7 linked regions of the Oryctolagus cuniculus genome follow. The protein of the gene in region 2 purifies or fractionates together with the protein of the main gene of each other region. This does not show direct contact. Links are inferred from orthologs where the notes say so. Each region holds a gene or a part of one and is shown on either strand. Other genes may lie near its edges. The genes, in order: CEP170, BAG2, IRF2BP2, TBL1XR1, SGTA, HSF2 and HSF1.

Evidence for each region.
Region 1: the proteins of BAG2 (region 2) and CEP170 purify together in Homo sapiens (affinity purification with mass spectrometry; 3 studies listed by BioGRID and IntAct, with this or other methods). This does not show direct contact. The link is inferred for Oryctolagus cuniculus from reciprocal best matches to the Homo sapiens genes BAG2 and CEP170.
Region 3: the proteins of BAG2 (region 2) and IRF2BP2 purify together in Homo sapiens (affinity purification with mass spectrometry; 3 studies listed by BioGRID and IntAct, with this or other methods). This does not show direct contact. The link is inferred for Oryctolagus cuniculus from reciprocal best matches to the Homo sapiens genes BAG2 and IRF2BP2.
Region 4: the proteins of BAG2 (region 2) and TBL1XR1 purify together in Homo sapiens (affinity purification with mass spectrometry; 3 studies listed by BioGRID and IntAct, with this or other methods). This does not show direct contact. The link is inferred for Oryctolagus cuniculus from reciprocal best matches to the Homo sapiens genes BAG2 and TBL1XR1.
Region 5: the proteins of BAG2 (region 2) and SGTA purify together in Homo sapiens (affinity purification with mass spectrometry; 3 studies listed by BioGRID and IntAct, with this or other methods). This does not show direct contact. The link is inferred for Oryctolagus cuniculus from reciprocal best matches to the Homo sapiens genes BAG2 and SGTA.
Region 6: the proteins of BAG2 (region 2) and HSF2 purify together in Homo sapiens (affinity purification with mass spectrometry; 4 studies listed by BioGRID and IntAct, with this or other methods). This does not show direct contact. The link is inferred for Oryctolagus cuniculus from reciprocal best matches to the Homo sapiens genes BAG2 and HSF2.
Region 7: the proteins of BAG2 (region 2) and HSF1 purify together in Homo sapiens (affinity purification with mass spectrometry; 3 studies listed by BioGRID and IntAct, with this or other methods). This does not show direct contact. The link is inferred for Oryctolagus cuniculus from reciprocal best matches to the Homo sapiens genes BAG2 and HSF1.

The regions. Positions count from the first base shown.
Region 1 is NC_091444.1:63,134,528-63,138,027, reverse strand, and holds part of CEP170 (centrosomal protein of 170 kDa), read left to right. Parts: intron 1-113; coding exon 114-207; intron 208-1,096; coding exon 1,097-1,148; intron 1,149-3,081; coding exon 3,082-3,371; 3' UTR 3,372-3,500.
Region 2 is NC_091436.1:112,404,903-112,408,873, forward strand, and holds the start of BAG2 (BAG family molecular chaperone regulator 2), read right to left. Parts: upstream 2,801-3,971; 5' UTR 2,639-2,800; coding exon 2,526-2,638; intron 1-2,525. UniProt on the Homo sapiens protein: Co-chaperone for HSP70 and HSC70 chaperone proteins. Acts as a nucleotide-exchange factor (NEF) promoting the release of ADP from the HSP70 and HSC70 proteins thereby triggering client/substrate protein release.
Region 3 is NC_091444.1:53,903,439-53,905,719, forward strand, and holds part of IRF2BP2 (interferon regulatory factor 2-binding protein 2), read right to left. Parts: coding exon 2,001-2,281; 3' UTR 1-2,000. UniProt on the Homo sapiens protein: Acts as a transcriptional corepressor in a IRF2-dependent manner; this repression is not mediated by histone deacetylase activities. Represses the NFAT1-dependent transactivation of NFAT-responsive promoters.
Region 4 is NC_091435.1:102,883,226-102,886,725, reverse strand, and holds part of TBL1XR1 (F-box-like/WD repeat-containing protein TBL1XR1), read right to left. Parts: intron 3,111-3,500; coding exon 2,989-3,110; intron 2,857-2,988; coding exon 2,782-2,856; intron 159-2,781; coding exon 31-158; intron 1-30. UniProt on the Homo sapiens protein: F-box-like protein involved in the recruitment of the ubiquitin/19S proteasome complex to nuclear receptor-regulated transcription units. Plays an essential role in transcription activation mediated by nuclear receptors.
Region 5 is NC_091447.1:59,207,068-59,211,233, forward strand, and holds the start of SGTA (small glutamine-rich tetratricopeptide repeat-containing protein alpha), read right to left. Parts: upstream 2,801-4,166; 5' UTR 2,662-2,800; intron 2,595-2,661; exon of another isoform or gene 2,573-2,594; intron 1-2,572. UniProt on the Homo sapiens protein: Co-chaperone that binds misfolded and hydrophobic patches-containing client proteins in the cytosol. Mediates their targeting to the endoplasmic reticulum but also regulates their sorting to the proteasome when targeting fails.
Region 6 is NC_091436.1:47,729,752-47,733,816, forward strand, and holds the start of HSF2 (heat shock factor protein 2), read right to left. Parts: upstream 2,801-4,065; 5' UTR 2,627-2,800; coding exon 2,534-2,626; intron 1-2,533. UniProt on the Homo sapiens protein: DNA-binding protein that specifically binds heat shock promoter elements (HSE) and activates transcription. In higher eukaryotes, HSF is unable to bind to the HSE unless the cells are heat shocked.
Region 7 is NC_091437.1:168,064,930-168,068,429, reverse strand, and holds part of HSF1 (heat shock factor protein 1), read right to left. Parts: intron 257-3,500; coding exon 148-256; intron 1-147. UniProt on the Homo sapiens protein: Functions as a stress-inducible and DNA-binding transcription factor that plays a central role in the transcriptional activation of the heat shock response (HSR), leading to the expression of a large class of molecular chaperones, heat shock proteins (HSPs), that protect cells from cellular insult damage.

The sequences.
Region 1 (3,500 bases), on a different chromosome or scaffold from region 2:
TATTTTTCCTTGTATAGCTTTGAAAAGATACATTGTATTTGGTGTTATCATTAACAGAAATACAGTAAATTTTAAAATATGAAAATAAAGTGTTTATTTTTTGCAAATTCTAGAATATTATTTAAAGACAAAGATCGGAATTGGGATGAAATAGAAAGCAAGTTAAGAGCTGAAAGTGAAGTTCCTATTGTGAAAACCTCAAGCATGGTATGATAATTTTCTTGAAGATTAAACCATTTTAATAGAGTTTTATATTAATGGAAAGATAGCATACTTATTTTTAAGCTATTTATTGATTTACTTGTAAAAGAATATGTAGATACACAGATTTCCTTCAGCTGATCTCACAAGAGTCCCAAATGTTGACTGTTTCCAAGTTGCTAGGGGCATGGAGAGGGGATTTTTATATTTCTCACTATTACATATTCTTGTTCTTGTAATAACTGTACCTTAAAAATATTCAGTTTTGAAATAAGAACTGAACTTAAATATCAAGTTTACATGAATTGTTTCCATTTACTTACTATAGTGCTTGCCTTCTTTTTAAAGAATTTGTACAGATTTTCAATGCTCAGAATGTAGTCCTAGTATTAAGATTGCAGTTCATATATTTTTACAAAGAAAACCTTTAAGTACTGTGTCAGAGTTACTGCAATGTTGATCAATACAAATATTTCAGAATCTTTCTTTATATAGTACAGGTTAGATATCCCTTATCTGAAATGCTTGATACCAGCAGCATTTCATATTTCAGCATTTTTGGATTTTGGGATACTGCATAGACTTTACCAGAATTTCCAGTCATTTCATATTTCCAGTATTTGGACCAGAGATACTCAGCCTGCAGTAAATTATCTTGAACTCTTCATCTGCTATCATTACCTCATTGAAAAAAGTTACTCATTTCATTATTAAAGATTTTTAAAATTTGTCTTATTTACTGGATGTCATCATTTCATACCATGCTGCTACTAAAGTAGTAAATCAAATAGAAAATGTTAAATGCTCCAAATAAAATGAGAGTGAGATTCATTACTTGTCAAATCAAAATGTTTTAATTAAAGTAAGCTAATTTTTGTTATTGCTTTCCCTGCAGGAGATTTCTTCTATTTTACAGGAGCTGAAAAGAGTTGAAAAGCAGCTACAAGGTAAATTTACTACTGAATTGAGTAGAGAGCTGTCATTTTAGGATAAGTGCATTCTAATGGCGTTCTCTTAAAATATTCATTTTATTTGATTAAATATAATGTCATGTAATAAGTATGGAGTTCTACATATCCAGATCACTTATTTTTTAAAGATTTACTTATATATTTGAAAGACAGTCACAGAGGGGTGGAGAGATTGAGAGAGAGGTCTTCCCTCTGCTGGGTCACTCCCCAAATGGCTGCAACGGCTGAAGCTGCGCCAATCCAAAGCCAGGAGCCAGGAGCTTCCTCCGGGTCTCCCACATGGGTGCAATGGCTAGGACTGGGCCAGGCTGAAGCCAAGAGCCAGGAAGTTCATCTGGGTCTCACGTGGGATGCAGGGGCCTGAGTACTTGGGGCATCTTCTGCTACTTTCCAAGGTGCATTAGGGAGCTGGATCAGAAGTTGAGCAGCTGGGACTCAAATCTGGCTCTCATATGGGATGCTGGCATCACAGGCAGTGGCTTAACTTGTTGTGCCACAACTCCAGCCTCTCAGATTACTCTTGAAAAGGAAATTGTACAAACCTAATATAAAAAATTAAAGTTAAATCTTGGGCATATTTTAGAGTGTAGATTTGACAATAGGCTAAGTGTTACAAACTAATTACATTATTATATATATTATATAAATATATAAAATAATGATGTGTATATATATATATATACAGCTTAAATGACTTGCTAATTAGCATTATTTATTTGATTTGATAATTCTTAATTTATATTGGTAGTATAACCTCAAATAAACTTATATTCTAATACAAATAATAGTTGCTTCAATGGACCATAAAAAAGAAGTGCATGATAGCTTTAAAGACCAAAAGAAGGGGAGAAGAAAGTGAAACAGACTCTGTTTGCCTCCTAAATTTTGACAGACTTTGTTTTAATTCTTTGAAAATCCAAATCATGCATTAATGTCTGTGTGTCTCTTGACCCAGAACATCCCCAGTGGCAAACAAGCAGGACTGAGTCAACTGTTAATTCCTCCCAGTATTTATTTGTTGAATAATTGTAGGCATAATATGTAGATCCCACCTCAGTGATTCCTAACCTTTATTCAACCCTACACACCCAAGGGTTATGCCATAAGTAAAAGTGGCTTGCTAACACAGTCTATGAGCTGATAGAATGGGGGTATACTTTTAAAAGGAACCCCTAAATGATTCTTGGAACTATAGTGCCTCCTTCTCCCAACTTCCTGTTCTGTCCAGTATCAAGGTGAAAATCACAGAGAACTTTCCTTGTCCACATAAAGAACTTTTGTATTAAAAACTGGTCTTTAACTGGCTCCTTCCGTGGACATAGCAAGGTCTCTTTGGCCTGCTGGGGCTGCCCTGGGATATTGGTTATGCATGGACCATTATAGGTCAGTGGTACACGATACAGTTGATATCCTAGCACTCCAACAGGATCTATGACAACATGCTATGCTAAAAATAAAAGTATGTTATGTTCTTCTGACCTCACCAGCCTTGAGGATATTCTGAACCTTAGCTGTAAACCCACAATTCTCTGATAAATAGGGCTAGGGGTGTTTATTAAAAATTAACTAACATTTTATTATCTTCTCACAATAATGAAAACAAATTTCAAAAAGATATCTACTGAATTCCACATCTCCAAATACCAGTCTTACTCTCTAGAATGTCCATAAGTGACTCATCAGAGAAAGTATTCGGGATTGTTTAATCTACAATATAGATCGATATTAAGAGTGAGGTTTAAGTACAATGTTGTTGGAAGGATTTGCCTCATTTAAAATCACACAAACACACTGATAGTTAAACTGTCCAAACTAACTAATGTTCATATTCAAATTTAGCTGCATTTACAGTTATGTCCTATTCCTTTTACATTTTAATTATACCTCTGCTCCTTTTCCTTTCCTTCAGCAATCAATGCTATGATTGACCCAGATGGAACTTTGGAGGCTCTGAACAACATGGGATTTCCCAGTGCTATCTTGCCATCTCCACCAAAACAGAAATCTAGTCCTGTGAATAACCACGGCAGCCCTGGTCAGACACCAACACTTTGCCAGCCAGAAGCAAGGGTTCTTCATCCTGCTGCTATTTCAGCCTCAGCTGAATTTGAAAATGCCGAATCTGAGGCTGATTTCAGTATACATTTCAACAGATTCAACCCTGAAGGGGAAGAGGAAGATGTTACAGTTCAGGAATGACTTTCTCTTGATTGTTAACAAAAAAAAAAAAAAAAAAAAAATTACCTGTGGATTAACTAGGAATATTGGAGGCAGCATAGTGTTGACTTACACAAAACAAGACAGCTTGGTCAAACTACAATTTTGTTA
Region 2 (3,971 bases):
TGGTGGTATGACCTTGGATGAGTCTTTAGTTTCTAAGCCTCAGTTTCTCATCTGTAGAGTGCAGATTACAGTAATTTCCACACAGATATGGAGCCTGACATGTAAGCTGTATTATTTATAAATGATAAATGTCTAAAAAGATAATTAGCAGAGTAGCTTGAGCTATTGACAAATGTAAAATTATATTCCATTCAGAAATCATGAAAACCAGGAGAGAAAGGAACTGCCTCTTTGGGGACGCAATCTGGAGACAAAATGCAGTCAAAAAAGCAAGGCTTGTGTAACAATCAAGTATCAGAAACAAACTGAAGAAGACTGCCAAACATTTTACAGCATTTTAAGCATCAGGAAGGCCAAATATTCCAGGTCATCAAGCACTGGGTATAATCCTGTTTTTGGTTTCAGAGGGAAGAAGTTTCCTTCCCAAACATCAAACTAGCATTAGAGAACAGTACATGCATACTTCTAAGTACAAGCTAAAATGCCTCACTCTACTAACATAACTACTTTATTAGTGTTACTTAATATGACCTCAAACGATGAGAATAAATTATATATGAATTTCATGTTTGAAAACTCGACCTCCCTCTAGGCACGATTCTAGTTTTCACTGGTACAATGCTCTGCACATTGCCTGCATGGTATCATCCAAACTTCAGTTAGGATCAGCAGTAGCATTTTTCTCTATTTTTGCGAACCTTCTGAAACACTTGTTTAGTTTTCAGTATTACTCTTTTTAAAAGGAAGAAACAAAACTCTAGAATTATTCGAGAAGCCCTTGAAATGAACAATTAACACACATATTAATCAGACTTTCCTCCTTCAGCCCAAGTGGTAATTAAGCAACTTGTAATTTAATCACTTATGTGCAGTAATCAGAATTCATTTGACATTCACCAAATATCAGAAATACAGTAATACCCCAAATCAGAGGCCTTGTTTTAGAAGAGGAGCACTTGACTGCTTTTGTGCCTACCACATGTGAGGACAATGACTCAGCTTGTCATTGGAAGGAAGGAAGGAAGGAAGGAGGGGGAACATGCTCCTCATTCCTATAAGAGAAAACCTGTTCTCTCTGACTGGGGGAGAGAGGCTAGTAGAGAACGCCTGGAGAGAAGTCTAAGGTACTTACTAAGCTGCTACACAAAAGAAATCCCATTCCTTAGAGGGGCTTGGAGTAGCTGAGGCCACTGTAGTTTCACTCCACTTTCTCTGGGTGTTGAACCCAGGTTTGCTGATTCTGTGGCAATCCATAAGGAAGCATTGCTTCTCTCTTCAACTTGTCGCACCCTAAGTGAACCCCAGTACCTGGCTTAGGGCCCAGGTGGCTCTGTTGCCATCCCTGGAATTGTGAGTGGAGAATTTCACACTTTCTGGCGATTTCCTCCCAGTAGTAATAGCGAATCTTTTTTTACTAGCAGACACTGTGGTTACTGGTATCTTTTCTGGGCAAACAGACACTTCTTCATGTTTTGCTATATTAATGGAGGGAGAGAAGGACACACAATACAGCACTGTTTACACTTTGGGGCTTCCACACTCCTTTGCGCCTTCAGAGCTTGGCAGAAACTACTGAACCAAATCCTATGTACAGTGTCAGGGGGCTATGCGTGTCTCAAGATTTTCACCTAACTATACCTGCACACAACCACAACGCAGACACTAACTTCAGACACAAATGTTCATAGATAGTACATATACGTTTTTATACACTGTTAAAGGAAAAAGCCATTTCCAAAACTTATTACTACTTAGACATTCTATACAAGCCTATCACTATCTTACTTACTTAAAACTGTCATCAAGGGAAAAAGGAAAAACTGTTGACTATCTTTTCATGCTTTCGGGCCAGTGACTAGCACTTTTAAGGTCTCAGCAGCATCTTTTATGTAAGGTAATAAATATTAAGAAAATAAATACTGGAACACAGTATGTGGGCTTAGGAGAGCAAAGGCAGCCATAATGTCTTTAATCCACGAGGTACAGGACCCAGTTACTGTTCCTCCTACAGCCCCTCCCTTGGCCTACTGCTCTACAATTTTTGCTCTTAGATGCATTCCTGGGGTCCCCCCCCTTTCTGCTCTGAAGTGCTTTGGAACAAGAAAACTTCACGGGGGGTGGGGTGGGGTGGGGAGAACACTTTAATCTTTTTCCCTTAACTCGCAACCTTGGGGGGGGGGGGCTTAAAGATCTTTGGGACCCCAGAGAAGGTTCTGGAAATAATCTCCATTACCATCACCCTAACTTTTATCTTCTCTGGGTATTCGCTAAAACACACAGGTGTGTTCACGTGTCCATCAATAACGTGCTCACAGGTTAGCTGGGACGGAACGCGTTTTCTCTCAGCGAGGAGAGGAAAACCTGCCAGGACACAAAACCGCACCGCCTCCATCCACACCACCCCAACAAGCAACTTCTCTCGCCGCCGCTTGCCCCAGGCGGGGCCTCCGCCCGCCGGCCGCCCACGCGGCGAGCAGGACGCCCGAGCCCGCCGCGTGCCCCTCGCCGGCCCGCCGGCCGCTCACCTGAGCTCGAGCTGGTCCAGACTCTCCAGCAGGCGGCTGGAGCGGTCGGCCATGGAGGAGGAGCGGCAGAAGCGCCCCTCGTTGGCTTTGGCGTTAATCTTCGCCTGAGCCATCTGAGCCTCTGAGGCGGGGCGGCCGAGAGGTCACCGGCCTCTCCCGCGGTGGCGAGTGGAGCGCTCCCGGGCCGCAGGCGTCGCCGTCACCGCGCGGGGCGCCCGCCTCTCTCTGACGCCCGCGGGGGCGGCTCGCGAGGACGCGCCGACTCCGCCGCGGCTGCGTGGCCAAAGAAGGGCAGGCGCGGCGCGCGCGGGCTGGGGGTGGCGGGGCCTGGAGGGGGCTAGCTGGCCGCAAAAGCTCGAGGGTGGGCCTCAGGAGCTAAGGCCTCCGAGACTCTGGGATGGGAGGACCCAAAAAGGGGAGCACCTAACGTAGTCGGCTGCTCTCTGCTCCTGGAACAACCCGAAATCGGCGCGGAGACCCAGCGAACACCCAAGCCCCGACTCTTGGTGCAGCATAAAAGTAGCCAACTCCCCCTATGCGGAGTTACCATACCACACGGTGGGCAGGCTGTGGGTGCATGGCTCACCGATGGTTTCGTTTACTTCCTTTCAGCACCCAGAATTCAAAGCAAGAACGAAAAAACATTCAGGTTTCTGCCGACAGGGAGAAAAGGTCCCTTTGCAAAGCAGAAGACATAGAAGGACACCGCCTCCTCGGCAGTCTGTACTTGACCAAGTCACTTTTCTGAGAATAACAGCCTGGACCACACTGACGCTACTGAGAAAGAATGAAGCAGCTATCCCGTCTTTGCCTGTCTAGCTCCAGATGCGAAGCAAAGTGAATTTAATTCCCACACATTCCAAGAAAGGGAATTTCACTTTTATGCCTACAAAAATTTTTTCTGGTATTTTAAATAGTTGGTAATGGTCACTTCACACCCAACGTATTAAATCTGTTAACGACAACAACAAAAATCCAGTAAATATCAGTAAAAGATGGAGCAGGGCCGCTGTATTTAAAATATTGTGCTTTGCTCCGCTCTCAGGATAGCTCACGTTACAAGAATGTTCGTATTGCAAGTATGAAAACTGAAGGCATGGAAATGGTAATAACAGCTTTGAAGCTGAATCACAACCTTTCATCAGTGACCATCACCACTTAAATACTTTAGCAGAGAGGGAACTCTTAAGCCTGGATCCCAATTCCATCTGTACTCATTCTAAATACTAGTAAGCTTTTGGTATAGGGTGTTATTTGACCGATCTCATTAAACATATTTTTGCCAAACATTAAACTCGATATCCCAACACATTTTGTGAATGGCTTGATGTCTCTCAAGAGACTTTAGATTCACCTTGGACTTTCTCTCATGTCCTAGATCCAGTCCATCAGTAATCACATGAATGCTACCTTCACAGTATGTCCAAGATTCTTCCCTCAGCTCCA
Region 3 (2,281 bases), on a different chromosome or scaffold from region 2:
ACACACTTACACAACAGACCATGACAGTTGAATTCTTTACAAATGTCTTTACGGGTATGTAAAACTGACTCTGTGTTTTTGCATGTGTGTATTCACATAAAAGAGACCAGTCTGATCTGAATCATATATACTCCAATTTTAAAAACAGAAGGTGTAACAACAAACTGGCTACTCATGCAAGTCTGTCTGTTAATATAACAATGACCGGTAACATGAATTTGCACGGCATCAATAGGTGCACTCATTAAAAACACTACGAGAAAATACTGTATTTGGTGCAGTATCTGATTTGCAAGTGTTAGTAACTTGACCATTAAAAAATATTTTAGCAAATTAAAAAAAAAAGATAAACATGTAACTAAAAAAGAACTCAAGGTTTGTAATAATAACCTGTTTTCAACTTGAAACAGAAGTTAGTCTCTGAATGATACACATAAACTGTAGTAGACCTAGAAACCATGATCCAGCCTAATTAGAAGGCCAAGTTACAAACACCTGAACCTAAGGATTTAAGTGTTCCTGTCAATGTTAAATCATAACAGCACAAAAGAAAAACCAGTATCACTGTGAGACAACTATTTCTAGTAACTGATGATTTATTGGTTTAAAAAATCATTTTACTGATGCAAAATAGTGATCAAAAGAAATTAGTTTACAAAAGGCTTCTAAAAATAGTTTGAGAGGTGGGGCCTGTCTATTATGTAAAAACCCTTAATTTCTTTCATTTTCACTAGTTTATCACTTTTTCCCCCAGAACAGTATTATTCAGTTGATATTTCAAATACATGTAAGAAGGAAATTACAGGCTTCCTCCACCCACATTCGGGCTGTCACTGATATGCCCACGGGCAGTCCTGGCAGCACCACGGCGGCTGTTACTGTCATTGTACCATACTGTATTTAGCACTCACTAGAAACAGGGTGTAGGTGATAGTATCAACAGCAATAGCACTACAGGTAAATGATAAAAAAACAAAACAAAACACAAAACAGAAACAAAACCAATCCCACAATCTCCAAGTTCACCTGGACTGTAACTTCTCTCAGGACTCCTTCAAAGGAAACAACAGCAACAACAAACAGAGCTCTAGGGTGTTTAGAGATGAAGTGGCGCTGCAGAGCCAGGCTCTGCTCAAAGATGGCAGTGCCATCTTGTGCACACCACCATCCATTCTAACCGCCTCCCATCACTGGAACTGTGTATTATGTAACCAACTAGCATGCAGCATTGTAATCTTACAACTGATCACGTGGACAGTGAACAGCGGTCAACTTTGCCTTAAAAAAAAAAAAAAAAAAAAAAAAAAAAAAAAAAAAACTACCCCTCACCCCCAAAAGCCACACAATCCTAAAAATCTCTCAGCAACACCTCTCAGACTGTCATCGATATCCCAAGAACTGAACTTTAAGAACAAAACAGAGAGATTAAAAATCCATTTGCCTATTCCTCTGAGAGGACGACGTTTTGGGGTAACCTGGTGATGTTTCCAGTGGCATGCCCACTTGCCAACAGTGCCCCTTTCATCACTCATCTCCTTTCCTTCTCCACCAACTGGCCTCCGGCCTGAGAAGGGGGCCAGCAATAAGGAATAACAGACAGTAAGGCAATCTTACAATGTCAGAAAATGTATTTGGCTTTTTTTTTTCTTTTTAAAATAAGTGCATACAAATACAGCTAGAAGCATTTCTGATTTGCCAAGTGCTCTAAAAAAGCAGCGCGCAAGTCACAGCCTACATAGAACGGTAACTGTCACCAGGATAATAAAGCACAAAGATATGCTAATAACGTTAACAAAAGAAGAAAATGCCTTTATAAGTACATACCTTTTGTCGTCAAAAAAATATAGAAACACAATGTATTCAAAAAAATCAAAATTATACAGCCATGTTTATGAAGTCTACATTTCCCTTGTCTTGGATATATATATATATGGAGATATATATACAATTCAAGCAGTTTTAGTTAAGGATAATCATTGGGTTTTTCTGAAACCGAAAAGTCACGAGTCTCTCTCTTTTTTCACTTTCACATCTCCAGCAAGGATGGTTGCAATTTCCCCCTGCATAAAGGCCCAGGGGACATTGGAGCCCACAAGAGGGCATTTTTCCCCACTGGGACAATAGACCTCTCCACTAGCTCCCTGCTGTTTGATGCTTTGTCTGGAGCAAGGGAAGCAGAACTTGTGCGAAGGGACGGACGGGCACTGCACAAAGTGGGTGTCCTCCAGCCGCTCGTGGCAGAGGGTACAGCACAGCGGGGCACTGGCTGCCAAAGAGGAGT
Region 4 (3,500 bases), on a different chromosome or scaffold from region 2:
AGGAAGAGTAAAACAGAAATATCGTATCACCTTGCTAACATAAGGTTGGCATTTGGATTATTCGTCCCTGGTCCAGTTGGACTCCATTTGATAGTATAAATCTCTTTATTATGTGCTTGCAAATCATGGACACAATTGTCTTGCTTCATACTCCATATCTAAACAAAAAAGAAAATGTATATAATTATGGTTCAGTATAATGAGTACATTCAAAATATACTATCTTGCCAGCCCAAAATATGAGTGATAGAACCAAAATTAAGGGAATATTTGTAATTTAAATACAGAATATATTTAATATTTTTGGAATAAATGATATTATCTTTGTCGCCTTCAAAAATATTCACTATTGTAAGGTTTGAAGACTGAATTATAGTTTTTTTCCATGATTACTTCTGGTAGATTAAAAAGTTGCAAAGTTCAACATCAAAATGTTAAAGGGACTGCTTTGATGCTGTCCCTTAAATAACAGACATTATATATTGCTCTTAGAATTAACTAGCCGGAAATTACTTTCTGTAATGAAGTGAAAATAAGTAAACAGCTTACAAAATAATGTGATGACTCGAACAGAACAAGTGATGAAAACACATGCAATAGAGCTAAAGTAGTAGAGAATAAGCTTCTGCTGAGGTGAAAAATGCTATGTTCAGGTTAAAAAATCTGCATTAATTATGAGCAAAAATTAATAGAAACCTACATCCAGAGTATTTTTGGATGTATCAATATAGACTTGAAAGGTGGAATGGGGGAAACACATAAGATGTCTTGACAAACACAAGCACATCAACTCCAACAGCAGAAGGGAAACAAAAGTTAGCTGGACTTCATACTCCTACAATAAAACTAACAAAAAATAATGGGGTACTATCATAGTGTTTTTGCAGTTCAGGCATTTATAACCCCATGTAAATGAACTCAAAAGATGTTTTTCCAGAACAAATTTCGTTAGACTTCCTTCCAATGGCATTTGATACTGTTGGCCACTCCCATCCAGTGTCTCTGTGAAGTACTTTTCTCTACACATTCTCTCTCTTTTCCACTTTGGTCACTCCTCAGTCTCTGGAAGCTTAGGTAGGTGTTTTGTAATGAGAGAATCAGACCCATGAAGCCTCTCCATCTGCATTACTCCGACATTATTAAAATTCAATATGATCTTCTCACTCAATTAGGTATTCCCTGTTCTCAGAAAATGGCCCTCTTACAGCTTGCCCATCCACCTAGTTTTTGTTTTAAAATCCTATGTGACCTTTATTTATTCTTAAGATGCAGAAAAGCTCTCTTAAAATTTCAAGTTCCAATCTATCTCTGCAGCTGCAACTCAATCCATGACATAAGGCTCAACGAGCACCGGCTTCCATTTCCTTGTATATCATATGCTTTTCTACAAATTTTTCATTTTATAAGTACTAATATATGTACATACAAGGAAAACTCCAAAATAAAAGCATTAAGAAAAGCCTTTTTACTAGCAATGCTCCTAAGGGAGCCAGCACTTGAGAACTATCTGACTGAACAAACAGCAGGTACTTAGGGTAAAAAAAATCCAGAGAGTTCCCAAGGTTACATTCAGTCCATTCATGGTAGGAGGAAAAGCAGTTTTCCCTCAAGATTATTTTATCTGTAAAGGTTATCACATCTGCAGTCTGGTATCACAAAGTCAAAGATAAAACTGTTTTCAGTAGAGTTATCTGTTACAGAAGAGAACTGCAGGCTTCATTTATTTTGGAGATTAGTAGTTGGCTGGTTTTTTACTTCAAAATTCTTTTTCCCTAACTGTGGTACAATGTGCTTAGATGAAAGGTAGCAACAGTTTTGCTTTCAGTCAGACAAGAAAAAAATAATAAATGCAGGTTAAAACGTGGCTGCTGGCATGTAGGCTTGCTCAGTCACTCAGAGACTCCCAACTCATTTCTATCAGTTTCCCAGCCAGGGAGATACAAATTCACATCACAACAAAAGCAAATTGATACAATTCACAGAATTTCAGATAAATTCACAAATGCTTCAAAGATCTTAAATATTTGTCAGTCAGATCTTCACATGTGAAAATAAACTTTAATTGAACCAATACATAGTGTTACATTTCTTACTGCCTGTGAGGGTTAATTTTATAAGTCAACTTGAGAAAGTCATAGAGAACTCAGAGATTTAACTAAACATTATTTCTGTGTGGTTTTGTGAGGGTGTTTATGGATGAGACTGGGTTTTGATCACTAGACTAAGTAAGGCAGACTACCCTCTCTCCAGTGTAGCTGGGTATGATCAGATGCAGAGAGGTCCGGAACAAACCAGAACGGCAGCCTGACCACTGAGCTAGGATACTGGGCTTCCAGGGACTGGAACTTAACCACTGGTATTCCTGACCCCTAGGCCATGGATCCTGCCTGGAGTTTCACCAGCAGTTTTCTGAGTCTTTAGTTGGCAAACAGCAGAACATGCATGTGATTATCAGCGACCATAACCTTGTGAGCCAATTGTTCACAAATCTCTTACGATGGATTGATTGGTCTGTCCCCTCTATGGGTTCTATGTCTCTGGAGAATGCTGATTAATATGCCATCATAACTGTATGACTATTAATACAATGTATTTGCTATATTCAAGTAATTCTATATATCCCAGAAAAGAAAATTAAAGTACGCAAAACAATAATTAATCATTAGAGAGCAGGAAAAGTTCTCACCAAGGCTTAAACATACAATGTAAGAAATATTCTAAACAGTCAAAGCAGGCACACTGTGTGACACTCCCATCGCATCCCCATTAAACATTAATTACCTTCAAAGTCATGTCATCAGAGCAGGAGGCCAGGAGATTGCCAGTTGGGTCCCATTTGATAGCATTTACTTCATTCTAAAAATAAATATTCACATTTTCATTTGCTAGATTGGGTTACTGTGCAGATATTAAACAGAAACATGTCAAAATTATTCTGAAATATCACTTGTCATAATCCCTGTAACAGGGAGGGAAAAGGTTTCTTACCGTATGTCCCTGGAATGTTTTAATAGGTCTGTCTTGTCCTAATTTACAGACATGAATGCACATATCCGTACTACATGAAGCAAAGGTGTTGTTGCTCTGCCAATCAACATCCAATGCTGGTGCTGGAAAGGAACAAAGTTGAAGTTTGCATTTATTCCACATATACTGAAGTCCAGAAGCTTTAGCTTTGAACCATAGTTAAGACATTAAGCATGCTACGTGGTACCTAACATTTTGATACTTTTTAAGATACTAAGAAAAAATATTTATTTTTAAAATAAAACTATCAAACTATCATAAGCATTACTTTCCATTTAGTTATCTCTATATGAGATGCACCCTAACAGAAAACACACTGACCTACTTAATTGGGAGACTGGGGTTCCTGAGTGTTTGCTCTATAAATTACTAGCACCAAAACTTGGGTGCTGCTTTGCAAAATGGTAAGATTAAAAGTGATGGGGCTGGCATTATGGTGTAGTGGGTAGAGCCACCGACTGCAGTGCTGACAT
Region 5 (4,166 bases), on a different chromosome or scaffold from region 2:
CCAGCCCCAGCTGAGCGCCACTGGCCAGAGAAGAGAGGCCGCCCGTCAGCGAGGGTCAGCGAGGCGCGCCCGCCGCCCGAGGACCCCTATCCGGGGGAGGGCGGGACCCGGGACTCAGTGCACACCCGCCAGGCTGGCCGAGCAGGCGGCCAGCGCCGCCCCCGGTGCCCGCGGAACAATGGCAGCCTGTGGGCTCTGGCCGGGGGCAGCGGGGTGGGGGGGACGGCACGCAGTGGCGGCCACGCCTCCTCCAAAGGCCACCGCGAGGCCTGGGCTGGGGCGCGGAGGCAGAGGCCAGGGTGGGCCGCCGGGTCCCAGAGACGGGTCCCGCGTGGGCTGCTCCGAGCCCCCTTCCGCTGACTCTACCCCCCATCCTGCCGCCAGAACCCGGACACGGCAGCCGCCGCTCGCTGCCCCCCTCCCCTGCAGTGCTGAGCGCGGGGACCCCCGTGGACTCGTGGCCCCGCCCCTCCGCCACCCTGGAGGCGTAGCCACGCCCCGCGGGAGCCCCGCTGTGTTCCCGGGAGGCAGCGGTGCCTCCGCGCGGAGTGCGGGCAGACGCGGGGTCCTCCCGGGGGCTCCGGGCGCCACCCAGTCCCGCAGCGTCCCCAGGAGAGAAACCCGGGCGTCCGCACGCTCCAGCCGCAGCCCCCCGAGCTCTGGCGACGCCCCCGCCGTCCCACGGGCCGGAACCCCTGCACCTGCTCCGTCCAAACCTGGGAGCTCCCGGGAGGTCTCCTGGGTCCCCCACGCCTGCCTGCCTCCCCCACTCGGGCCGGGCCGGGCACGAGTGCGGCTGCAGCTCCCCAGGGGCCCGGGCTGGGCAGAGCAGTCCCCGCGGGGGTCACTCGCCCTCCCAGGAACCCTCATATCCTTGGGCCAGAGGTCACGACACTGCGGTTCCAGCCTCGGCCGGAGGGTGCCCGAGGGAGGAGCGTGGCCATGGGGGGGCGGATTCTGTTCACAAAAACTGTGGCTCCCGGGCCTGCTCAGCCTCCGGGCTGGTGGCGACCAGGCTCCCCATTACACAGAAAGACGGACACGGCCCGGAGCCCCGAACCCAGGCAGGCGGGCTCGGAGCCGCCACTCCCATGGGCCCGTCTTCCCCCTCCGCATAAACCCGCACACACCCTGAGCACCAGGGAGGCTCGGGGCCACCCCCAGGCTATGCCCTGGGCACCGCAAGACGGCACACGGGGTGCACCCCCTGCCCCGGCACCACGCATGGCCCCCCCCAAAACGACCCCGGGACAGGCTGACACCCCAGCTCCCAGGGGGACGCAGGACAACCCCCCACCCCAACATCGGACCAGGACGAGACGTCGCCCACGCGCTCCGGGCACCCGCCGAGGCGCGCTCCCCCTCCGACGGCGCGGGCGGCAGCGTCCAAGCGACCCCGGGCTCAGAGAGCTCGGAGGGGGAAGGGTCTGCCCGGGCAGCGCAGCGCCGGAGGGAGGCGGTGGGCTTGCCCGCCCGCCCCCGGCCCGGTGTCCACGGTGCCTCCTGCCCGCCGCGCCCCCGGCCCGGCCTCCCCGGTGCCCGCCGCGCCCCCGGCCTGGTGTCCACGGTGCCCGCTGCCCGCCGCGCCCCCGGCCCGGCCTCCCCGGTGCCCGCCCCACCCCCGCCCCGGTGTCCACGGTGCCCGCTGCCCGCCGCGCCCCCGGCCTGGTGTCCACGGTGCCCGCTGCCCGCCGCGCCCCCGGCCTGGTGTCCACGGTGCCCGCTGCCCGCCCGCCCCCGGCCTGGTGTCCACGGTGCCCGCTGCCCGCCCGCCCCCGGCCTGGTGTCCACGGTGTCTGCTGCCCGCCCCGCCCCCGGCCCGGTGTCCACGGTGCCCGCTGCCCGCCGCGCCCCCGGCCCGGTGTCCCCGGTGTCCATGGTGCCTCCTGCCCGCCGCGCCCCCGGCCCGGTGTCCCCGGTGTCCATGGTGCCTCCTGCCCGCCGCGCCCCCGGCCCGGCCTCCCCGCTGCCCGCCGCGCCCCCGCCCCCGGCCCGGTGTCCACGGTGTCTGCTGCCCGCCCCGCCCCCGGCCATGCCTCCCCGGTGACTACGGTGCCCGCCCCGCCCCTGCCCCGGTGTCCACGGTGCCTGCTGCCCGCCCCGCCCCCGGCCCGGTGTCCACCGCGCCCCCGCCCCTGCCCCGGTGTCCACGGTGCCCGCCCCGCCCCCGGCCATGCCTTCCCGGTGCCCGCCGCGCCCCCGCCCCCGGCCTGGCGTCCACGGTGCCCGCTGCCCGCCGCGCCCCGCGGCTCTCGCCCGCCTCCCGGGCAGGGGCTGCGACCACGCCGGGTTTCACGGCCCTGAACACCAAGAGGCTGGCCAAGGTCAGCCGCACACAGAGGGACGCCAGCCCCGACCGGACGTCCAGCAATCGGGGTCCCCGGGCCACTGGAGGGCCGGCTCCCCGGCCGCGGGCGCTCACTCCGCGCGGGGCGCTCTGCCTCCGCCGGCCCGCGGGCCCACGTTGCTGGGGCCGGGATCCCCGGAGACAGGCGAGGACCCTCCAAGCCATGCCCGACGCCGCCCGCTCGCAGGACCGCGGGAGTGGAGGAGACCCCGACCCCAGACTCACCTCCTCTTACGGGCTCCGGGGCCCCGTGAGACCCGAGCCGTGGACCCCTCCCCAGGCCCACCGGGAGGACGGCGGGGCCCCCCACTCACCTCTCCAGCGACCGAGCCCGGACCCTCCGACGGCTGCGCCTGCGCACCGCGGCGCCGCCGGCCCCGCCCCCCGGGGACGACGCACGCGCAGAAGGAGCAGGGCCTCGGGTTGCCTTCCTTCTGCGCAGGCGCGTCCGTGATCGAGGCGGGCGCGGGCGGAAGTGATGCAGTTGAGAGGCGGGAACCAGCTGGTCGTTAGGGCAACTGACCTCTGCGACCTCAGGGGGGCCGGAAGTCGCGCCTGACTGGCTCGCTAGAGCGGGCGTGGCGAGGAGCATGCTGGGACGGTGGAGGACTCCGGCGGGCGCCCCGCGCTGACCACGTGGTGCTGCCGGCTCGGGGCGCCAGGCGCGCGCGGAGGCCTCAGGGACCCCGCGCCTGGAAGTCGCTGCGGGGCGCGCAGCGTCCTCCTGCACTCGTTCGCCCACCCACTCACTCGTTCGTTCAATCCCGGGCCCCGCTGGACGGCCTGGCCGGGGGTCAGCGGTGTTGAATCCCGGGCCCCGCTGGACGGCCTGGCCGGGGGTCAGCGGTGTGCAATCCCGGGCCCCGCTGGACGGCCTGGCCGGGGGTCAGCGGTGTGCAATCCCGGGCCCCGCTGGACGGCCTGGCCGGGGGTCAGCGGTGTGCAATCCCGGGCCCCGCTGGACGGCCTGGCCGGGGGTCGGCGGTGTGCAATCCCGGGCCCCGCTGGACGGCCTGGCCGGGGGTCAGCGGTGTTGAATCCCGGGCCCCGCTGGATGGCCTGGCCTGGCCGGGGGTCGGCGGTGTGCAATCCCGGGCCCCGCTTGACGGCCTGGCCGGGGGTCAGCGGTGTTGAATCCCGGGCCCCGCTGGACGGCCTGGCCGGGGGTCAGCGGTGTTGAATCCCGGGCCCCGCTGGACGGCCTGGGCGGGGGTCAGCGGTGTGCAATCCCGGGCCCCGCTGGACGGCCTGGCCGGGGGTCAGCGGTGTGCAATCCCGGGCCCCGCTGGTCGGCCGGGGCGGGGGTCAGCGGTGTGCAATCCCGGGCCCCGCTGGACGGCCTGGCCGGGGCGGGGGTCGGCGGTGTTCAATCCCGGGCCCCCCTGGACGGCCTGGCCGGGGGTCGGCGGTGTGCAATCCCGGGCCCCCCTGGACGGCCTGGCCGGGGGTCGGCGGTGTTGAATCCCGGGCCCCGCTGGACGGCCTGGCCGGGGGTCGGCGGTGTGCAATCCCGGGGCCCTCTGGACGGCCTGGCCGGGGGTCGGCGGTGTTGAATCCCGGGCCCCGCTGGACGGCCTGGGCGGGGGTCAGCAGTGTTAATCCCGGGCCCCGCTGGACGGCCTGGCCGGGGGTCGGCGGTGTGCAATCCCGGGCCCCCCTGGACGGCCTGGCCGGGGGTCGGCGGTGTGCAATCCCGGGCCCCCCTGGACGGCCTGGCCGGGGCGGGGGTTGGCGAGTTGAATCCCGGGTCCCGCTGGACGGCCTGGGCGGGGGTCAGCGGTGTTGAATCCCGGGCCCCTCTGGACGGCCTGGCCGGGGG
Region 6 (4,065 bases), about 65 Mb from region 2:
CTTGCTTTATACTCAAGCTAGAGGAATAAATTATTTTCTACCAGTTAAAAAAATGCATAAAAAACTGGTTCCCAAAACATCTGCTTCTTCTAAAAGGTCTTAATACGATTTTCACTCAGATAATACTAAATTACCTCAACAGAAGTTCACAACAAGTTTGAAGAAAACCAGAAACAACCATAAATAGCAACTTTTAAAACCTGAGAGTAACTTATTCTTTTTCCACCTAACATCCTTGTTTAATTAAAGTTTTACCTTGCACTGCTTCCAGAAAAATCTGTGGAAGAGCAAAAGCAAGACAGTTGCTATAACCACCTAGGCCTGGCCCCAGAACTATTCCAACTTGTGGAGGGCAACATCTTGGTATAAAACTAAACATGGTGCCAAGCTGTGTTAAGTTTAATGCTTAAGGTGTGAGACTGACTTAGAAGCTGAGAAATCTATGTCAGAGTCCCTTATACAATCTTGGCTAGTAATTAAGGACTAGTAACCTATCCTGTCCAACTCTCAAATCCTTATCTATACAAGGATGAGACTAAAACTAGATGATCTCTAACATTTTTTTCAAAAACAATCTTACTTTTATCATTCCTACTACCCCCACTGTATTTTCCAGGGATTTCACTGATTCATTAAACATTTATTAAACATCTGTATCTCTGGCATACTGACCTGAGTTTTACATTTTGATTGTCCTGTTGGCATATTAGAAAATGGGTAGTTTAAAACATATGATTAGACTTAACAATGGGGTGAGAAAGGAATAACTTGTTTGGCTTACAATTCATAAAATAATGCAGATTGGTATAAAATGCCCTGTACTTGATACTGCCCAGAAAGTAGGATTATTGATCAAATATTTTGGCTACTAGAATTCATGGGATCTATCATTGACATCAAAACCAATTATCAATATATCTAAGGACCATTTCTAGTCAATAAAAACAAGATGATCCATCCAGGCTAAAAAGGTTTGATAAAGTCAGTGGAGTGAGGAGAGACTCTTAGTCAATCTCTAACATGAATACGTGGCTGAGTAAGTCTGTGCCGATCCATCCTTGTCAAGTTTTAATCCTTCTGAGTGATGAAAAGCATGAGACATCTGTTTATTTTAAGGACAAGCTAGTGGCTGGCTCCCTTATTTTCACCTTTCTTTGATCAACTGTACAGAACTCATCAACTCAATACACACATAGCTGGGGGGTGAGGTTATGTCTGAGTAAAAAGATAACCCACTTGATAACACTGATCACATGAAAATTAAGACTTTAAAGTTAAAAAAGAATGAACAAATGACAATATACAGTGTTAAAAGCCATCAAAACTTCATGTACTCAATATTGTGCTCCCTGTTAAGACATAAAACTGAAAGTTCCTTGTAACAGGAAAAGGAGAGAAATCAAAGGGAGGAGGGTAGATAACATTTACTCAGCACTTAACAGGTGCCAAGCATTATGCAGGTAGTTTTCACTTCTCAAGAACTCCATAGATGAAAATACCCCCACCACCACCACCAAGGACTCCTCCACAATAAAAGAACCCAGTCCCTTTAAAAAAAAAAATTATTCCAACAGCCTAGAAGTATCATAATGCAAACGCATTATAAGATATAATCATTCTTAGAATCTTTGTAATTGGAAGTAGGAGGGAATCCTGAGGTCACCTAGGCAACCTATGGACGTTTTGACGATGAAACTTAGGCAAGACAAGATCAGGGGCTCAACTAAGGTCACCTTTATTTAGAAGCAGAGTTGGGATCAAACCAGCAATCAGAGCATCTATATACCACTCGCTGGTAACTAGTGAAATTCAGTGATTCATTTTAGCTACTAAGCTACCGAACACCTGTCTATTAGCACTTTTAACACAATGATCATAAAAATCCATTTATATAAATGGCTCACAATCTCCAAAGCCTAGTCTGTCATTTTCTACGTAATATTTTTAAAAACCTACGGATAAACTAACATGCGTTTGAACACATGCCCACTTCCCTGATTGCCCTCCTCATCAAAAATCCCAGATACAAAGCTGAGTGCGTGTGTGCAGCGCGCGCCCGTGTGTAGAATCGGGTCACCAGGGTAAAGATTTCCTCCAACAAACCCCCGCGTGGACGACACCGGCCCGGGGCTCCCGCTCCCCTCCCGATTCGTTCCCCGCGCGGAGGATGAGTGTGCAATAACGTGGCTTCCGCGCCCGCCGCTCGTCGACTGCCTGGCTCTGCCAGGCTGGTTCCGAACGCTGACCGGGCCGGACCGTTACGGGGCCGCCTGCGCCGCGCCGCCCCGCGCGCCGCCCCTCCCCCACCGCGGCCTGAGACGCGCGGCGCCGGCCCGGCCCCCGCGGCTCCCCGCGCGAACAATACAGGGGGTCCCCGGCGAGGCCGAACGCCAAGGCCCCGCGTCACACCGCCACCCGCGCGCCCGGCCGAGAGCACCCAGCCGCAGGCCGCGAGAGACAATCCCGCGGCAGAGAGCGACAGGGGAGAGACGGTTAGTTCAGGGGTTCGGAGGCCGCCGTGCCCCGACCCTACCTGGCTCCAGGTGATGAACTCGTTAGTGTGGGTTTCCTCCACAAGCGTCCACAGCTTGCTGAGAAAAGCCGGCACGTTCGAACTCTGCTTCATTGTTAACGAGGTGCAGGGATTCCAAATTCTACACCCGAACGCAGCGGTAGCAAAGGCGGCGGCGACGGTGGCGACGGTGGCGGCGGCGACGGCAGCTGCTCCCGGAGAACGCCCACAACGCAGGCGCAGCAGCTGTCGGGCCCCGCCCCCCCAAGCCCCGCCAGGCGCGCTGCGAAGCCGGGAAGCCGGGCGGCCGCACGTGACGGACAGGGCTCCCTGTGCTCCGCCTGCCGCACCGGGCGCGCGCTGGTCCAGTTCCTGGCCAATCCCAGACGCCAGCCGCACCACACTGAAAGGTGATTGGGTGCCGAGTCTTGGAGGGGTGGGAGCAAAAGGGGGCGCTGCCTTCTTATTCGCCTTTTATACGGGAGCCTTCGCTGTATCGGAGTTAGGGCTCGGAAGGCAGTGTTTGGTTGTTTCACGTGGAGGTAGCTTCGGTTTGGTAGGTTGTGGCTGGAGGCTACAGAAGTCTTTGGAGGCTTTTGAGTCATAGGTTTGGAAGACAAGGTGTGGTTTACGCCAGTGTAGCGGAAGAAATAATTCGTGGGGCGGGGAAGGAGAGAGCAGCCCTCAGGCGTGATATGGTAGGCCCTGAAATGAAACTTAACGAAAATAGCCTGTTTCATCAAAAAGAACAGTTTAGATAACTCATTAATGAATATGTATTATTTTAAAGCCAGGAACTGTAATCACGTTGCTAATTCGCCCAGCAAGTGCCTACTATATGCCCAGCATAAAAAGAATTATTCCTATTTATACTATTTTAATTAAATAACTGTTCGTTTTGAGATTCTTTAATAATGAGAGGCAGAAAGAGAGGGCTTCAGTCCTCTGGTTCACTCCCAAATGCCTGCATTGGCCAGGACAGAAAAGCCGTAGCTCGAACTCGGTAGGTCTTCTGTTGGTGGCAAGCACTCAATTACTTGAGCTCTCATTGCTGTCTCCCAGTATCTGCATTAGCAGGAAACTGGAATCAGGGGCCGTAGCTGGGTTTAGAATCCAGGAACTCTAATGTGGAACACCGGCATCTTAACTTCTGGACTAAAAGCGTTTCTGCAAAAAAAATTTTTCTTGGATGTACTTTACAAATGTAGTCTTATTTGCTTAGATAGATTGCTATAGTGGGGAAATATTAGACAACGAGTGAGTAGATCTTAGTGCAGACCATGGACATTTGCATGCATAGTAAATAAAAATACTAAAATAAAAATATGTACACAAGCTGGAAATGACAGTTTTATGCAAAATTCAGCCTAGGATTGGTTTATTTCCTGGATCTATGTAAAATAATACTTTAATAAATAGAATATACAGAAATTCTAATGTGAAAATATTTATTGAATAGAGCCATTATGTTCAGCATTAGGCTTTTTGCTGAAGATAGAGGGATATATGTGATACAGCAACTAATGTATGTAAACTTATATCATTCAATCTTC
Region 7 (3,500 bases), on a different chromosome or scaffold from region 2:
TGGTCTCCCAGCTCCTGGCTCCGGCCCCTCCCACAAGGACCCTTCCCCCAGGAAGGGACCTCCCCCCCAGCCCGGGCTGCTGGCCTTCACATCCTGCACTGGTCAACCCAGAGTCCGTCCTTTGGCCGGGGCCCGGCAGGCACTCACACATGTTGAGCTGCCGCACGAAGCTGGCCATGTTGCTGTGCTTGAAGTACTTGGGCAGCACCTCCTTGGCAAACTGGCCCTGGTCGAACACGTGGAAGCTGTTGCCGCTCTGGCAGGAGACACGGGGTGGTCACACGTGGCAGCATGGGCCAGGCAGCATGGCTGCAGCCCTTCCCCGCCAGCTCTGTGATGCGCCCTCCCACCCCATGGGGTGGGGCTATGGAGGGGCTCGGGGGGAGGGGTACGGCAGGAGGAGGAACCGTCTCCCGGGGACCGGCAGACACATATGCACTGTACATGCCCCATGATGTGAGGCACCGGGCCGTGTGGCCAGAAACGGGGCCCTCACCCAGGCCCCACCTGGGATGAGAAGAGCCACACCTTCAGGCCCACGTGCTGGGGGCCGGCACTGAGCAAGCCCGATTCCCGTCGGAGGGGAGGGAACGCAGCCCCAGCCCCTGGCACAGACGGTGGCGGGGTGCGCTGCCCCTCTGTCCTCCTGAGCGCAGCCCAGGCACCAGGAGGAAGGTCTGGCACAGCGTCTGTGCTGGGAGCAGCTGTGGGGGCTCCGACGGGGCAGAGTCCACACAGTGGGGAGCAGGAGCAGGCAGGGACCGGGAAGAACCAAGGGCCTGTGGTTCTGGACAGGAACTGGAGCTGCTTTTGAACTCCAGAGAGAAGGAAAACGACACGGCAAGGGGCGTGCAAGAGACGGAGGAAGGGACCCGAAGCAGCAGGGAGAGCCCCGCGGCCGACGCCCCCAGAATCCAACTTGCGGAGGGGACACTTCTTCCCCAGCGACAGCAGCGAGCCTCCCTCCACCCCTGCAGCTGGGCATGGCAGGTGGGGCTGGGGCGCGTCTCTGCTGCCTGTCCCATTGCACAGGGGCTCCCCCAGGGCAGGTCTACGGCAGCATCCAGACGACAGAGGCAGAGACAGCTGTCCCATCTGCTGATTCACCCCCAAATGCTTGCCGCGAGCTGGCGGAGACCAGGTGACAGGAGCTCAAGCCAGGTCTCCCAGGTGGGCAGTGGCCTCCCACCGTTCACGCTAGCAGGAAGCTGGGGTCAGGCGCCAGAGCCTCTGCCATGGGATGGAGGTGTCTGAGCCTCTAGGCCGCACGCCTGCCCCCAGAGGCAGCTGTCAACAAAGCTTGCTGGGGGAGACAGAGCACCAAGCAGAGGAGGCAGGCAGGAGACAAGGAGAGGCTCCAGACACCTACGGGGGCCTGGACGCCAGGGCAGGTACCCAGGGCGTGCACTGGAAACCTTGCGGGCTCCGAGGAGGCAGGCAGGGAAGGAGGTGTGGAGAGGCTCCCAGGAAAGCCCGAGGCTGGCGGGCCCCAGCACCGAGACCACGCCCTCTCCTACAAGGGAGCCGAGGAGGTCAGATGATCAGAGCTGTGAGAGGCGAAGCCCCTTCCTCAGACCCTGCCTGGGCCACAGGACGCAGCGCGGGGCTGCACAGAATCAGCGACCACAACTCCAGGGAGGATGTCTCACTGTCTCATCTCCAGAGCCGCCCCATCAGGCCCAGCAACAGCCAGTTTCCAGCAAGCAAGCAAGCGAGAAGGGGTGGGTAGAGCCGCCGCCTGCAGTGCCGGCATCCCGTATGGGCGTCGGCTCAGGTCCCAGCTGCTCCACCTCCGGTCCAGCTGGGAAAGCAGTAGAGGATGGCCCAAGTCCTTGAGCCCCGGCACCCATGCGGGAGACCTGGAAGAAGCTCTTGGCTTGCAGCTCTGGCTGTGGCGGCCATCTGAGGAGTGAACCAGCAGATGGAAGACCTCTCTCTCTCTCTCTGTGGCTCTCAAGTAAATAAAAAATAAATCTTAAAAAAAAGAAAAGCAGAACAGAAAGTCCCCCACGCAGGAGCTGGCGCTTGGTGCAGCGGGCTAAGCTGCCACCTGGGACACTGCACCCACAGAAGCGCGGGGCCAAGTCCCGGCCGCTCCATGCAGGGCCCAGCGCCCTGCTGACTTGCCTGGCAGAGTGGGGGACAGGCTCCTGGCTCTGGCCCGGGCCACCTGGGGAGCGGATCTGCCAGCAGAGCCTGCTGGGGCTGAGGATTTCCTTGACGTGAGGCTCATACCAGGGACCTAACCCGTTTAAGCGTCGTGGGCGCTGGGCAGCTGGCTTGCGAGGACCTGGCCCACTTCACCTAGGGTGCGAATCCACATGCGTGCAGACGCAGTCTCCGGCCACAGCGGGGGTGCACTGGGGCCCCCCACGGCATCCTGCAGACCTGCAGATGAAGGGCTCCTGCCCAAGACTCGGGCCCGAGGACGTCACGGAGCAGCGGCAGCCTGAAGCTCCCTCCTCTGCTCGGCGGGTGACTGCACCCCTTCCCTCTGTCCCTGGGGCTCTGTGCTCTAACTCAGAGCGATGCCTGGAATCCGGTGACCCATCGCACTACTTCACAGAACCCTCACAGCCGTGAGCCTGACACGAGGAGAGAGGCTCTGGGCCCGCTGCCTCCTCCAGCCGGGCTGTCCACCCGGCCCAGAGCTGGACAGAGCCTCAGGAGACGGCGGGGACGGGAGGCTGACGTGGGCTTGGGCCCAGGACCTGAGAGGTGAAGCCCGCCTCCGGGCACCAGCTCCAGTTCCACGCAGCTTCCTAACGCACCTGGGCGCGCTGCCACTCACGGGGGAGACCCGGATGGAGCTCTGGGCTCCTGGCTTCGTCTGGCTCAGCCCCGGCTGTTGGGGGCATTTGGGCAGTAAACTGGTGGAGAGAAGCTCTCTCTCTCTACTGCTGTACCTTCCAAGTAGATGAAAATAAGGAAACTTTTTTTTTTTTAAAGTGCATTCTGGAAAAAACCCAGACATCGGGTGTGGGGAGGGCACGAGGCTGCAGGGCTGAGGCGAGGCGGTGCCAGGATCGCAGTCTACGCAGAGGGGCCGCAGCAGTTCTGAGCCAGCAGGAACGGGGGAGATGGCATGGGTCCTTGAACTCATCCTTCCCCAAGTCTTGTTTCTTCCTTCCTTCTTTTAAAAGAATGGTTGTTTCTATTTATCTATTTTTATTTATTTATTTTTTTGACAGGCAGAGTGGACAGTGAGAGAGAAAGAGACAGAGAGAAAGGTCTTTCTTTGCTGTTGGTTCATCCCCCAATGGCCGCTGCAGCTGGCGCACTGTGCTGATCCGAAGGCAGGAGCCAGGTACTTATCCTGGTCTCCCATGGGGTGCAGGACCCAAGCACTTGGGCCATCCTCCACTGCACTCCCGGGCCACAGCAGAGAGCTGGCCTGGAAGAGGGGCAACCGGGACAGAATCCGGAACCCCGACCGGGACTAGAACCTGGTGTGCCGGCGCTGCAAGGCGGAGGATTAGCCTAGTGAGCCGCGGTGCCGG